Linked DNA regions of Neurospora crassa OR74A. The protein of the gene in region 1 interacts with the protein of each later gene in a biochemical or structural test. Links are inferred from orthologs where the notes say so. Each region holds a gene or a part of one and is shown in the gene's direction. Other genes may lie near its edges.

Region 1 (7,367 bases):
AAATTGAATTTCTAGTATTATACTTATATAAAGAAGCGGATAGCCCTTAAATTAATTTTATTCTTTAAATCCTAATTAAAATAATAGAAATTAAAATCCCTAATAGTAATTAAATTTCCCGCCGGAAGTCTAGCCTCAATAAATTTAAAGAGTAATAACCCTTACTAATATTCTAGCGTTCCCTATATAAGAATAGGAGAGTAGATAGAATAGACGGTTATTAAATCCTTCAAATTTTTAAATATAATTATAGTTTAATCCTTTCCAGTTCAAGAATTTAAATCCTTTAAATTCTATTTTTTATTTATATATATTACCGCCCTTCCCTTCTCTAAATAATTAACCTTAAAATACCTTCCGCTTCTAGGATAATAAATATCCCTATTACAATTTTTACCTAATTTTTAAATTACTATAATATTATAAATCTCCTCTTATTTAAATAGAAATTTTCCCCTCTTATACAACTTCCCTATATTCTAATAAAATATTTTTAATTAAACTATTAATTACCCTAAGATAGGGTTCCTTTTAATCCCTCGGCGGAAAATAAGGGTACTACTTCCCTAAGGGGGGCTATAATTATATAAATACTATTACTACTATATAACCAACTTTCCCCTATATTCTATAAATATATATAATATCTATCTATTAAATTTCATAAGGTTATAGGCTTTAGCCGGGCGGATAGGCCAATTAATTTTTTTAACCGTCCCCTTTTTATACCTCCTCCAATATATTTCTCTAAAGTAATAATAGTACAAGAGCTAAGGGGGGCGTTTAGTAAAATACCCTTATTTATAATCTCTATTATTGGTTCTAATACCTTTCCAGTTAAGTTCTTATAGGGGGCGAATGCCCGTAGCCTTTCAACATACGCAACGGACGCTTTTATAATTACCTTTTAGAAAATAGGGCATTCTTTATAATTATACGTATAATACCCCTTCTTCCTATATAATTTATAATAAATAAGTAATTTATTATTATTAAATAGACAATTTACTTCGTTAAAATAATCTCCTTTATATTTAACTTCGCTATAATAGGTATAAATATTAATTTAATAGTAGAATCTTATTATATATCCAATTCCTTAATATTTAAAGTATTATTAAATATTATTTAAAGTTTAGAATCATTTGTATAAATATACGCCGCTATTTTAAAGGAAGAGGTTATTCTAAAGGAAGTACACCGCTAATATAGTAGCGACTTCTATAAGGAATAAACTTCTATTCTCTCCGTCCCTTCTCTTCTATAACTAAACTCTAATAATAAATACCTCTAAATTCCTCTCCTTTATTATATTTAAAATAACTTCCATTATAGTATAATTATTAATATTATCCTAGGGTACGCCCTAAACCAATACGCTTATAATATTTATAGTAATAAAAATATTGGGGCCGAAAATATCTTTAATCTATATTTAATTTTACTAGTACTAAATATATATAAATTTATTAAATATAATTATGTAGTTATTAATTATTAATATTCTAATAGCTATATAAATTATTAGGCTAAGTTTCTTTTTACTTAAATAAATAATTAGGGTCGTCTTCATATCTTTCTTTAAATAGTTTATAAATTTAATAGTAATTATTATTCCCTTAATAATAAACTATTACTCAAAGTTAAAGGGGATAAATTTTTTAATAATAGTAAATAATTATTAAAAGATAGTACTAATTTTACTCGGGCTAACTTTTACTATAATATCGGCCCAATACTTTAATACTTCCTAAACGCCTTTCTTAATTTCCTTTAAAATATCCTTCTTTAAATTATTAAAATCCTTCTTAATAATAAATTAATCGATTCTAACTTTACTAACTTCGGGTTATATAAACCTACTTTTTTTAACGTATACCTTTATAAATTTAAGAAGTAATTCTCGAATTTAACGACGGTCCTTAGTCGAAATAATATTATAGTCCGCAAATTTATTCGCTTTAACAATAAATTTCTTTAATATTTTATTATCTTTATTTATTTTATTTAAAGTCTTTATAGTAAGTACGGCTTTAGAATTGTTATATATTGAGATTTCCGCAAGCGGGTTGTAGATACTATTTTCAAATCTACAAGTACTGCTATTAATAGCTATCGGCAACGACAATACAATACTATTGCTATATTCGTCGTAAGATATTGTAAGGAACGTAAACGACCCTCCTAAGTCGATTGCTGTTATTAATTTTCATTTTAGAGTACTCCTCGACTAGAAATCGGCGTTTCCGGTTTCAAAGCAGTTTTTTAGGCTATAAGGTAGCTACTAGAATATACGGCTATTTAAACTCTAGTACTCGAGCGACCCGGAGGGTAGTGTTTTATCCTTTCTTTCTTCGTAGAACTTTAATATATACACATAAGGCCAGCACCTACATATCGCTCTACTGTCCCCTTATAGTAAGAAAGTGAAATATAGAAGGAAATTTTACAATTAACAGCCGGCCTAACTAGGGATCCTTTTATATAAGGACCCTAGTTAGAATAAGGATTTACCTTAGTTTATAGGGGTAGATTCCCTACTTCCCGGCCCGCCTACCAATAGTAGTTAGCTACCATACGCTCGACTATAGTACCAAGCGTACTCCGGCTATAGTGCTAGGTACAGCTCAATTAAGTAGTCTAACTAGCCCAGTACTCTAATCTACAGCTAATCGTATATATCTAGTAACAACTTTTTAATATATAGAAAATTGTAAAAGAGAAAAAGCTTAATGGATAAGTATATTACTTTGTTCTAACTATTTTCTAATTCTCTTTTTACTTTTAAATAACTATTAGATTATAAATACATATTATTTTATTATATTTAATATAAATTATCTCTCTAACCCTAGTAGGTATTTTTCTTATATAGTTTTATTATTTATAGGTACCTACTTTAGAAATACGAGTCTAGTAAGGTCCTATAAAGTAGAAGAGGGCAGAGAACGAGTAGTCCTAGTTATATACACCTATATATAAATCTAAAATACAAGTATAATAATTTGCAAATGAGTAGAGAGTTAGCAGAACTACCAGCAAGAAGTATTTTAATATAACCTTTTTAATAATATTTTGGGTAAGGTACTAAAACTCTGTAATATAAATTTCTAGGAATCGGTAGAAGCGTTTTCTTATTGTTATCATTTCTACTATAACAAGCAATAACTATCCCTTACGATATTACTACTCTAATCCTTTATAGCCTATTCAATGCTGGAGAGGATAAGAAAGGTTATTAAGGCAGATGAAGATATTATTAACTACTATTACAATAAATGAGAATCCTAGCTGTATTACAATCCTAGTTTTCTATAGGATTAGTGGCTTGGCTGGCGCCTTGGCTGTACCGCGCTAACATTTCAAAGCTATGCAGAGGTGTAGTAGTGTATTGACATATGTGCGCGGATGGAGCTCCACCCCAACTTCCACTTACCTACCTAGGTACCTAAAGGGTACCTAACTTCAGCGCTGCGTAGCTCTAACGACTTGTCCCGTCCATGCGCCTCCAAACACCGGAACCTTCATCTTGCTCTCGACCTCCAATATCGACCCGACCGACGTCTAGATCACCAACAATCTGTAGCCGTTGCTGCAGCTATCAGCAATTCACGATATTCCGATTGCTGAACGCTCCAGCTCCTTCGCGTCGTTTACCCATCCATCCCGCTCTACAAAGCTGGCCACTCCGCCCACCATGGCCTCCTTAAACCTGTCCATCCACGGGCCCTCCATTAAGAGCAGCTATCAGGGCGTCATCAACGGCCCTGCGCCATCTTCGGCATCTCCTACCTACGCACACTGGGCCCTTTTTTCCGTCCAGGCGCCTCTTTTGAATGCCTTCCAAGACTCTGGGGCAAAAGAGAGCATCCTGAAGGTCGAGAGCACTGGCGGTGAGTGCCATGCCGGCCCACAACTTCTCCTTCCCACCATATCCATGGGCCCGACTAATTATCAGTCGTCACAGATGGTGAGCTTTCCGACCTGATCGAGGACTTCAACGAGGGTCGCATTCAATTTGCCTTCGTCAAAGTCAAGGACCCCAACAGTGGACTTCCTAAGAACGTCTTGATTGCCTGGTGTGGCGGTGGTGTTCCCGAGCGAACAAAGGGGTACTTTACCAGCCATTTGGCCGCCGTCTCCAAGATTCTTCACGGCTACCATGTTCAAATAACAGCACGCTCCGACGGAGACCTTTCTCCCGAGTCTATTGTGCAAAAGGTTGCCGATGCTTCAGGCGCCAAATATACCGCCGGTGGTTCGGCACCCGCGTCAGCCGTTGCCCCGCCCCCCGTTGCAAAGAAGCCCGTTTTCACCCCGACTACCTCTACATCGGCCAGCTCTTTCAACCCCATTGTTGCCGCACGGATCCGGAATCACGGGGGCGAAGATGACGACGGCTGGGGTGTCGACGCACCGCCAGTCACGCGGACCCAGCTGGAGAAGGTCGCGTCTGCCTACCAGCCGACCAAGGTCAACATTGCCGAACTCAGAAAGAACAAAGATGACTCGCGTTCCGAAGAAACTCAGAAGCAAAATGACCGGCCGGAAGACATTGTTAAGGGTGGTTATCAGCCTATCGGAAAGGTTGATATTGCTGCTCTTCGCGCCCAAGCAAAGAAGACCCATGATGATCGGCCTGTAACCGTGAAGGGAGCCTATGAACCGGTGGGCAAGGTTGATATTGCCGCCATTCGCGCAAAGGCGCAACAACGTCCGACTGAACCGGAAGAATTGGAGACGCCCAGGAGTCTGGCAGAGAGGACTGCTGTATTTACGCAAGCAGAACGCTTGACCGAACTTCCCAAGCCCAAAGTTGCCAAGAAATTTGTAGGCAGCGCTGCATTTACTGGCACCAAAGCTCCCACGCCGGCTCCTCTCGGTTTCAGCTCGCCTGCAGTTCCTACCGCTACTCCTATTGGGGCTGCCAGCAGAACATTTGCGGATCAGGGAGGCAAGACGCCGGCCCAAATCTGGGCCGAGAAGAAGGCCAAACAAGGCGGTGCAGTTGCATTTGCGTCCACTCCCTCTCCCGCCGCTGCGCCTATTGCTGCCCAGAAGAGCGGCAGCGAATGGAAAAGCGGTTACGCGGGGAAGAGCTGGGCACCTGTGCAGGCACCCAATTACAGCCGAGGTCTTGAATTACACGCAACCGGAGGAAGCGCCTCGCAAGAGCAATATGAGCCTGAAGCACCTGCCTCACCGGCTGGCGGCATATCTGCGCTGCGCGAGAGATTCAAGGATACGGCACCTGTGGCGGTCCGTACGGGGTCACGGTCAGCACCAAGCGTGCCTTCTCCCGGCCCGGCCACTGGTGAAGAAGGGCATACTCCGCCGCCCCTGCCAACCGGAAGCCGTCCTTCCGGTGGCTTTGCTCTTCCTGGTCTGCCATCCCGGCCTTCTGTTGCTGACGACGAGGAAGGGAACGATGAAAGGCAGCTAGAAGAAGAAGTCCGTGCACTCGAACCGGCCGACCAGCATGAAGAGGAGCCTTCGTCCCCTGCTCGCATCGCAGTCCCGATTGCTCGGAGCGCAGTGCCTGAGGTGGAGCCAGCTGGCAATCTGCCGCCCCGTCCGGTGCCCGTATCGCAGGATCTACCGAAAGAAGAGGACCTCCCCGTAGAGGAGGATACCCACGATCCGCGTGCTGCTGCCCTGAATGTTGCCAGCGAATCTCTTGGCCAGGGTGTCGAGGTTCAGCAGGCTGGTTCAGATGGTGGCAAGCGTGCTCTGGTACAATATGACTACGAGAAGGCCGAGGATAATGAGATTGATCTCCAGGAAGGTGACTATGTCACTAATATTCAGATGGTGGATGACGATTGGTGGATGGGAACCAATGCGCAAGGGGAGAGTGGACTTTTCCCTAGCAACTACGTGGAAGTCGTGGAAGACGATGAGCCTGCTGCTGCTTTCAGCGCAGCCCCAACAGTAGCGGCGACTCAAGCCCCTGTTGTGCCTTCATCTGCGCAGGCCGAAGCGGTAGCACCTGCAACTCCGGCCGATCAAGTTGCTGGCCCAACAGCGACGGCGCAGTTTGATTACGAGGCAGCAGAAGATAATGGTAAGTGATGCTTGGAAGCCCCGCATATATCAGCCGCGAAACCCAGGCCTAGTAGTGACTAACGAATCGGTACAGAGTTGAGCTTCCCCGAAGGAGCCACGATTACGGGTTTGGAGTTTCCCGATGATGACTGGTGGTTTGGCCACTACAGTGGAGCGTCAGGTCTGTTCCCCGCCAACTACGTTGAGCTTAATGCATGATTGAAGGCAAAGGTGTCGAAATCCACGGTGCTGGTAATGGAAAATCAGCTTATTCGGTAGTCTAGTTTAATAATTTTCAGCTGAAACTTAACTAGTATGTACAGTAGGGTTGTTGCGCGAAGATATACTTTACAAGTGATAACAACAGAGAATAATGGAGTGAGTAACTGGTTGCTAGATAGAGTAATAGTGCGTAACGATTGACGACAGTCTTATTAAAGGAAATTAAAAATAAGAATTGTCGCAAATCTCAACTTAGAACCTCGTATACAACTTTACTAAATATAAGCAATATAAATATAAGGTTAGTATAATATAAATTAATAATGTATCAACTTTAATAAAGGTTAAGAGGATAAAATACTCTTGTATAATAAACTATACGCCCTAGTAAACGGCTACTATAATAAAATAGAGTATGTGAATATTTATTAAGAATACCCTATAACATCTCCCCCTAAATAAAAGGATAAGAGTATTTACTACATATATAATATTATTAAGTTTAACTATATATATAAAACATTCCATTATTTATTATAACCTTTATTTATTAACTTATATTTGTATAAATTGTTAAGTGTATAAAACGTACAATTACCTAAATAGAGCCTCTAGTTTAATAATTCAATATTCAATTCTTTACTAGTTATATTTATAATAAAACTAGCAAGTATTAAAATCCTCCTGCTCCTTTTCCTTGTTCTTATTTATATACTATATATTTAAATCGGAATATTTAAATCCCAACGAAAGATCATTTTACTCCTAATTAGCAGGGAGGTAGTTACAAGAAAGAAAGTAAGTAATAAGTAAAGTATTAAAATAAAAGCCCGAGCAAACTAATATCGAATACAGTTTATTAAATAAATTAATTAAATTAAGTATATATAGGGGTAATAAATTAGTGAAATAAATACTATAAGGAATATTAGTACTAAAAAGAATATTAAATATTTAAGGTTTGTTAATAAATAAGGTTGTAGGGTAATATTTAATATAAATAATATTGGAAGTATTGTATATATAATTAGATTTAATTAACTAAAGTAGATTAGGTATAACTACTATTATACTTAATACTATTAGAAGCTCTAGCATAC
Region 2 (7,491 bases), on another chromosome or scaffold:
ACGACGACGACGACATCGATCTCGCAGACCTGCACCCCAACCCCTTGCGCTCCAACCCTTCTTCGCCGACTCTGCTTATCGACTCGGAGCTGGGGCCAGAAAGGTCTATCACCCCCTTCAGCCGCTTGCGCGAGTCGATTCTTCGTCCGTTGAATTTGAACCCGTTGAACATCAAGAAAGTCCGCCAACCTCCGAAAACCCAACATCTTCAACCAGACAGCCAGGAACCAATGAGGAACCGAGATTCCTCCATTCAACCCGAGGCTTTGTTTTCTTCTGCTGCCATTTCCGGCGGCGGAGGAGGAGGAGGAGGAGGAGAAGGAGGAGGAGCAAAGCCCTACGATCCTAGTACCTCTGACATACCTTCAACTTTGCTTGCAGGCCACCCTGCTAATTACCGGGTGGTTTCGTCTGGCCATGACTACGATTTCAGTTATAGCGGAGCAGGAGCAGGTAGGCAAAGACATGTCAGTGGGAAGGTGGCTGAGGAGGGCATGGCTGGTGGGTTTGGCTTTTCGGAGGATATAACAGAGGGAGGGAGGCAGGATAAGAAGAGGCTGACAGTTACCAATGCTTAGTGGGCATGATAGCAAGTTTGGATGCCTACTTGGATCCAAGAAGGATGATTTCTGTGGGTGATGAACGAATGATTACGTTGTTGGAATAATGTCATGATGAAGATGGATTATTCAAGCGGTTTTTCTGCGTCTAGCTAGCAGGTTCTGGAGTTAAACGGATGGGTTTTCGATGTTCAAAGGCATGATATCACTGTTACGAAAAGCTGAGCGTGGCGCATTGTATGTCTTGGTAGTTAGGTCTATAAGGTTGCGAAAGTTTCAACCCAGATAGTCGTTCTATGTCTATACGTTTCCTAAAGGTCATAACAATCAACTCTTTCTCTCATCCCTGTTATCTTTGTGACCATCTCTCTAGCCGTTAGGTATGATCAAGTCAACCCGCCGTCACGTCTCTAACTCAATCATCAACATCACAAAAAGCTCTCACAACAATCCGACCCTCTCCAGATACCCACTCAACCTCTCCTCCACCCTCTCCCCATTCCACGTCTCTCTCCCCTCCACATCCATCCCCAGCTCCGGTACTCCCACCTGCTCAATGGCAAAACTTGCTGCCACGCTGCCCCACGCACACGCCTCCTCGATGCTCTTTCCCCTCGCCAACGCCACCGCCAACCCACCCAGGAACGTGTTCCCACCTCCCGTGGGATCGACGACCTTTGTGGCGTCCGTGTGGTAAGCGGGCAGCCACCTCTCGATCCCCGAATCGACCTCGATCCCCTCCTCGACATCGAAACGACCGAACGGGTCATCCTCGTTGTTCCGGTCTTCCATATCTTGCAAAAGTCCGGCAAAGAGAGACATCATGTCTGTGTCGTGCTGTAGACCGCCGTGGAAGTTTCGGGCGTCCAGCCCTACCTTCATCTTCTTCTTCTTTCCCCTTTTCATAGGTGGCTGTTTCCTCCTTCGCCCCCCATTCTTGGCAACATAGCAGCCCTTCTCCCCGGCCCTGACCACCAGCGTGTACGTCGTCAGCGGCATGCTGGCCAGCAGCTGTTCGCAGTTGCGCTCTACTTGCTCGACGCTGATCTCGCCCGTTTCCGGGTCGAGGCCGTCGGTGCCCATGAACCCGGCTAGCTCGGCGTGGTTGGGGCTGCAGATGTCGACCAGTGGGAGGGCGTTGGTGCAGTTTAGTAACTCGAAGGGGGTGCAGAGATCGGGGACTGGTTCCCAGATGATTAAGGGGCGGGTGTAGGCGTTGGGGTCGTTGGTGTCGTCATCAACATCGTCGCAATCGTCGTCGTTGTCGTTATTGTTGTTGTTCTTGTTGGAGGCGGCAGCAGCAGCAAGTCGGGCTTCGCGCTTGCGAAGGGTGATGATCTCCTCCACCAACTCTTTGCAGCGGTTGGGACTGCAGACCATGTGCACGGCTTTAGCCTTCAACAAGGGGGTTCCGACCAGGTCGGCGGCCGTCAGTCGTTTCTTGGGAGTGGTGTACTTGAATTCGCGGCGCTCCGAGGAGCCGACGTAGCCGTTCCAGCCGCGGGTGGTGAGCCGGGTGGGGTCATGGCGGAAGACGGCCGAGGTGGACCAGCCGGTGATGAGATCGGTGATGGCCTGGGGGAAGTCGGAGCCCTGATCGACGATCCAGCCCACGGTGCGGGAGAGGTCCGGAGCTGGAGAGAAGAGGCGGGCGCCGAGGGCGGAGTAGGAGCCGGCGCCTCCTAAGACGTTGGTTGATGGAGGACGGGGCGGAGGGTATTCGATTTCATCTGATGGGGTGCTTAGTTGGTGCCTGATTGTGGTTCCTGGGCACTTACCGATGATGAACATGCCGAGGGTGACAAAGTCTATTATTGAGGGAGTGTCGTTGATATCTTGCCATTCTGAGCTCTCATCCGAGGCTTTGTCAACATCGTCTGGACTTTGGCCGGGCACTTCCGGGTTGCCGTTATTGTCTGTCATATTGTTCTCTGTGGTGACTGTGTAGGATCAATCAATTGTAGTGGACGCTTGAAAGGAGTGTATGCGAGTACGACGCGGCAACGGCCAGGCGATGATAGACAACAGGTGGGTGTGGGCTATGTAAGTGAGTGACACTGAAAGGGGTTATGAGAGTGAGACACCGATGGAGGGATGAAGACCTATTTGGAAAGATGGACGCGTATGTAGATATTGATGTGGCTACTGGCTAGGCTACCTCTATTGCTAGTCTGCTATTTCTGCCTGACCATCAGGCGGCATAAAGCATAAAGAGCCTGATGTTTTGATAACTCAACGTCTTATTAGCTAGAATCAGCTATCTGGGGTAGGTTTTTTACTGCGAGGCGTAGGAATGGAGAAAGGGGACGGACCCGCGGGACGGGAGGTTATGGGATCGATCCTGTCATCTCGATCCTCGACACTTTAAATGACTGCTTGTGCAGACCTACTCATGTCAAGTCTTCAGCATCAGCATCAGCATTACCGTTCTCGTATATACACAGCTAAACAAGCAGCGAGCTTCTGAACGGGGAGAGTGCTTGTTGTTGATCCGGTTGCAGTAGCACGATGTGACTTGTTGTTTTTGTTTAGGTATGCTTGGTGAGGTGGTAACTCATATGTGGATATGAGGCGTGGATGGTGCCTGTACGCCCAGCGGGCTTTTGGTGGCCGTGCACTCTAGTCTACTGCAGAGTCGTGAGAGCGGCCAGCAAGGTGTTCGTTCTTTCTTGTTGGAGGATGTCCCGAAACGCGTAATTTTAAACGATGGATGAGACGACCCACCATGACCCCACTATGAAGCTATCGTGGGGAAGCAGCTCATCACCTAGCGTGCTGCGTCTACAGAAGGTGTGCCCCGTACACTGTGGCCGCCCGTAGGCAGTGTACAAGCATGGCAGGCGCCAGGGGCAGATGCCCGTGCTAGGTAGGGGTTGTGTGACGAGGGGTTCCAATCGACGAGTTGTCAGCCCGGACCGTCAACCTTCAGACATCCCATGTTCCAGCACAGCAGATCTTGGGGCACCTAACTACACCTTCCCAGACCTCCTCCTTGTGCAAGTTTCGGGACTCTTTTCTTCCTCTTTCTCCATCTAGCGATATCTTCTTATTCCTTGTAAATTATACGGTTCAGCGAAAAGGGTAAGTGCTTCTCATCAAGATATTCAGGACGATACCTTCCCTCTGTTTCAACGAGCTCTCTTCCACCGGAGGTATCCGGGTCTGCCCACGGCACTCTCTTCACATCATCATCAAGGCAGGATCGCTAATACCGCAAGCTGGCACCGACAGTTCTAATCACAGAGTACACCTTGCTCCTTCCAACTTCTATATTACTCGACCGCGAAGCCTACTACGTTTCCAAAGTCCCGCCTAAGGGACCATCATAATCACAATGGCGACCAACAATATGCACAACTTGGTCACCTTGATCAAGAGGTACGCTTCAGCTTTCTTTACCGCAACTTGATATCGCCACACCTACGAATAGTTGCTTTCTTCTACAACACCCGCATTGCCCATTATTTTACCTGGCGCATTCTTAGCCATGCCGATTCCATGGGAGCCGCTCTGAGGCTAGGACGACGAAGATCCAGTCCCCGAGCAAGGAATGCGCCAGAAAAATCGGCGCAAAGCGAGAAAGAAAAAAAAAAGACTACGAGTGAATAATGGTCAAGGCACGTTGCTAAGTACTTGCGCAGACTTGAGGCGGCCACCCTCCGTCTGGAGGATATGGCTTCGTCCACCATCCCCCCTATTGGCTCCCAGGCCGTCATTGAGCCGGCTTCCTCCGCCCCCTCCGCCCCCGCGTCCACTGCTGTGTCCACTCCTGCACCCGCTGCCGCAGTACCAATTCCCGAATCTGTCGAAAAGTTCGACGACTTCTTGAACCAAACTGTTCAGAAATATGTTAAGACCAGCAATCTTATCGGTGGCTTGGTTGCTGAGCAGGTACCTATCCTGCACAGTTCTGGATCTATTTTGTGGGCAGAGAGCGGGAAGCTGACCATTTTTATCAGGCTGCGAGTGTCCTCAAGGGATTTGCCGAGACGCGCAAGTTCCTACTCGCCGCCTCCCAGTCCAAGAAGCTCGACATGAACTCGGTCGATTTCCAGGAGGCTATCAAGCCTATCAGCGAGGCCATCCAGGCCACTCAGGAAATCAAGGACAAGAACCGCGGTTCTCCCTTCTTCAACCACCTCGGCATGGTGGCCGATGGAATCATGCTCCTCGCTTGGATCACTGTTCAGTCTAGGCCTGACAAGCTCATTGATGAAAGCCTGTCATCTGCCGAATACCTGGGCAACAGAGTCATGCAGGCAAACAAAAACACTGATCCCCAGCATACAGAATGGGTCAAGACCTTCTACCAGATCTTCAAAGACTTGTCGGAATATGCCAAGGATTACTACAACAACGGCATTGTGTGGAACCCTAACGGCAAGCCTTACAAGGAGGTCGTCCAGTGTCTTGAATCCGGCAGCGCTCCCTCGGCACCTGCCGCGTCTCCAGCCCCGTCCGGAGGAGCTCCTCCTCCGCCACCTCCTCCTCCTGGACCTCCTCCGGTACTCAAGATTAATGAGCAGAAGGCGGAACCGGCCCAACCGGGTGGTTTCAGTTCCGTCATGTCTGAGCTCAACAAGGGCGAAGCAGTTACAAAGGGTCTCAAGAAGGTCGACAAGTCGCAGATGACACACAAGAACCCTTCCCTCAGGGCAGGATCAACCGTTCCCGACGGACCAGCGGCACGGTCCAAGAGCCCTGCGCCGCCTGGAACCAAGCCGCCCAAGCCTGAGAGTATGCGTGCGAAGAAACCTGCAAAGAAGGCTCTCGAGGGCAACAAGTGGATTATTGTAAGTTCTCCAGCCGGACATTGTGGTGTAAATTCAAGGTTTTTGACAGTGCTTTAGGAAAACTACGATGCTGCCGCTGGCAACGTTGAGATCGAGGCCTCCATTTCCCAGTCCATCCTCATCAGCAGGTGTAATGAAGTCGTCATCGTCGTCAAGGGCAAGGCCAACGCTGTCAACATTGACAACTGCGACAAGGTGTCGCTTATTGTGGACACTCTTGTTTCTACTGTCGACGTTGTCAGGTCCAAGAACTTCCAGCTCCAAGTCAACGAGACGATCCCCACTGTGCTTTTGGATCAAGTCGAGCAAGCCACAATCTGGCTGAGCAAGGAGAGCATCTCGACAAGGGTGTTCCAGAGCAAGACGGACAACGTCAATATCATGGTTGTGGACGAGAACGACGACTCCAAGGAGCTTCCTCTTCCTTCCCAAATCTGCTCGTATTACGATCCCGAGAAGAAGGAGCTTATCAGCGAGATCGTTTCTCACTGTGGTTAATTCATATTTGGTCGCTGCTTCGTCGAGATTGTCGGAAAAAGTGAGTAGCTTGATGCGAGGTGGCGTTTGGTTCTGATCGTGAGCGTTGTTGTCACATATTCTCCAATTTACATAATAGCACGCCTTGATTTGAATATTCGTGGATGGCATGTTCTGAAGCGGGCGTGAAATCATCTTCAATCCCGCAGGTATGCCAACTCGACAGTACCCATCATCATTTTCAAGAACCATATCATCTCATGACGTTCCTATTTCAATTGAAAAAAACGCCGAACACCTTTGCCTATCAATGACAAAACTTGGCTGTTTATGGCATGTCTCTCTGTCTAGACCATTTCCGCCGTAGTACTTTTCTCATCCATATCTATGACCCACCTAAAATCATCTCTACCTGTTTCCTAGACACAGCATCAATTCGGTTTTTTAACCTTTCCAGTCCACCAGACTAGATTTTGTACACTAGCTGACCATCGGTATACCTATCATCAAACAGCGTTAGCATCATTCCTCGACATCATCACACCTCACAATATCAAGCGAAGGGTAACTCACATCAACTGATTCCGTTCCGTCATCTCCCTCAACGCCTGCAGCGCCTCCTCCTTCTCAAACTTTTGTTCACCGCCTCTCCTGCCTCCGGGAATCTTCTCATTAACAGCCTTGATCAGCTCATCCACATCCGCAGCGTCGTCCTCGAAAAGTCCCGAGTTCAACAACGGACCGAGCGCCCGACGGAAAACGTCAAGACGGTGCTCGCTTATTGGTGCTGGCTCCTCATCTTCTTCTTCCTCTTCTTCCTCCTCTTCCTCTTCTTGGTTTTCTGGGGCGGCTTCGCCGTCAACGTCCATTTCTTCGTCTTCGTCTTCGTCGACGTTGAGGTTGGCGGCTCCGGAGGCGAGTTCTTCTTCGTCGTCTTGGTTCTGAGCGGTGCGACGAGATGATCGTTGGGAGCGAGTGGAGCGAAGTTGCGAGGCGGGAAGGGAAGAGGCGAAGGATGGTTGTGAGTCGCCGGTTGTGCGAGCAGATCTTGTTGAGCGGCGCGGGGTGGCGTCGTAGATGTCTTCTTCCTCTTCTTCTGCTCCTTGGGTTTCTTCTTCCTCTCTGGGAGTGCCGTTGGCGTTTGCTGCGGAGGAGGAGGAAGCGCCATTGGCGGGAGTGCGTCGGCTGGCGCGTTGGGAAGCGCGGGAAGCGCGAGAAGCTCTGGCAGCGCTGGAGCGGGCTGTGGTGGTTTGAGTTGCCACGTCGTCGTCATCGTCATCAGAGTCGTCAGAGTCGGAGGACATGCCATCCTCGCCCTCGGCGGGTCGGGTCTTTCTGCGCTTCTTGCGCGACTCGTCCTGGACCACCTCCTTGAAAAGGGCAAAGCGGAGGATGGACTCGGCAGCGGCGGCGTCACGCTCCTCGACGCGGTTGGACAGGCGTGCCTTGGCGTGGGCGGTGGCCAGACGGATGAGCGTCTCGAGCGTACGGACCGTCATGGGCGACGTCTTGCGCTGGTTGCCCTCCATGTCGTCGTTGCGCAGGCCCACGTAGATGTCAGCAATGCGGTCGGAAGCCTCCTGCGTCAGTACCGGCTTGATGCGCGTTTTGGCGTATTGAATATACTTCTTCATGAAGGGGATACTGAGGATCTCGGGCTT

What was found. The genes of interacting proteins can lie anywhere in the genome.
Region 2: the proteins of NCU10073 (region 1) and NCU08008 form a complex in vitro, tested with the Saccharomyces cerevisiae proteins (4 studies listed by BioGRID, with this or other methods). The link is inferred for Neurospora crassa OR74A from reciprocal best matches to the Saccharomyces cerevisiae genes ABP1 and SRV2.

What each region holds. Positions count from the first base shown.
Region 1 is NC_026501.1:4,039,317-4,046,683, reverse strand, and holds NCU10073 (actin binding protein), read left to right. Parts: upstream 1-3,459; 5' UTR 3,460-3,697; coding exon 3,698-3,893; intron 3,894-3,967; coding exon 3,968-6,064; intron 6,065-6,139; coding exon 6,140-6,264; 3' UTR 6,265-6,423; intron 6,424-6,485; 3' UTR 6,486-6,505; downstream 6,506-7,367. UniProt on the Saccharomyces cerevisiae protein: Regulates ARP2/3 complex-mediated actin assembly. Recruits ARP2/3 complex to sides of preexisting actin filaments, which may promote nucleation or stabilization of filament branches. Binds to actin filaments, but not actin monomers.
Region 2 is NC_026504.1:3,895,188-3,902,678, forward strand, and holds NCU08008 (adenylyl cyclase-associated protein), read left to right. Parts: upstream 1-3,371; 5' UTR 3,372-3,641; intron 3,642-3,791; 5' UTR 3,792-3,894; coding exon 3,895-3,938; intron 3,939-4,201; coding exon 4,202-4,451; intron 4,452-4,519; coding exon 4,520-5,353; intron 5,354-5,410; coding exon 5,411-5,851; 3' UTR 5,852-6,296; downstream 6,297-7,491. Other genes in the region: NCU08006 (hypothetical protein), read left to right, coding at 1-578; NCU08007 (PfkB family carbohydrate kinase), read right to left, coding at 1,002-2,483; NCU08009 (DNA replication licensing factor mcm3), read right to left, coding at 6,297-6,330, 6,404-7,491. UniProt on the Saccharomyces cerevisiae protein: The N-terminal domain binds to adenylyl cyclase, thereby enabling adenylyl cyclase to be activated by upstream regulatory signals, such as Ras. The C-terminal domain is required for normal cellular morphology and growth control.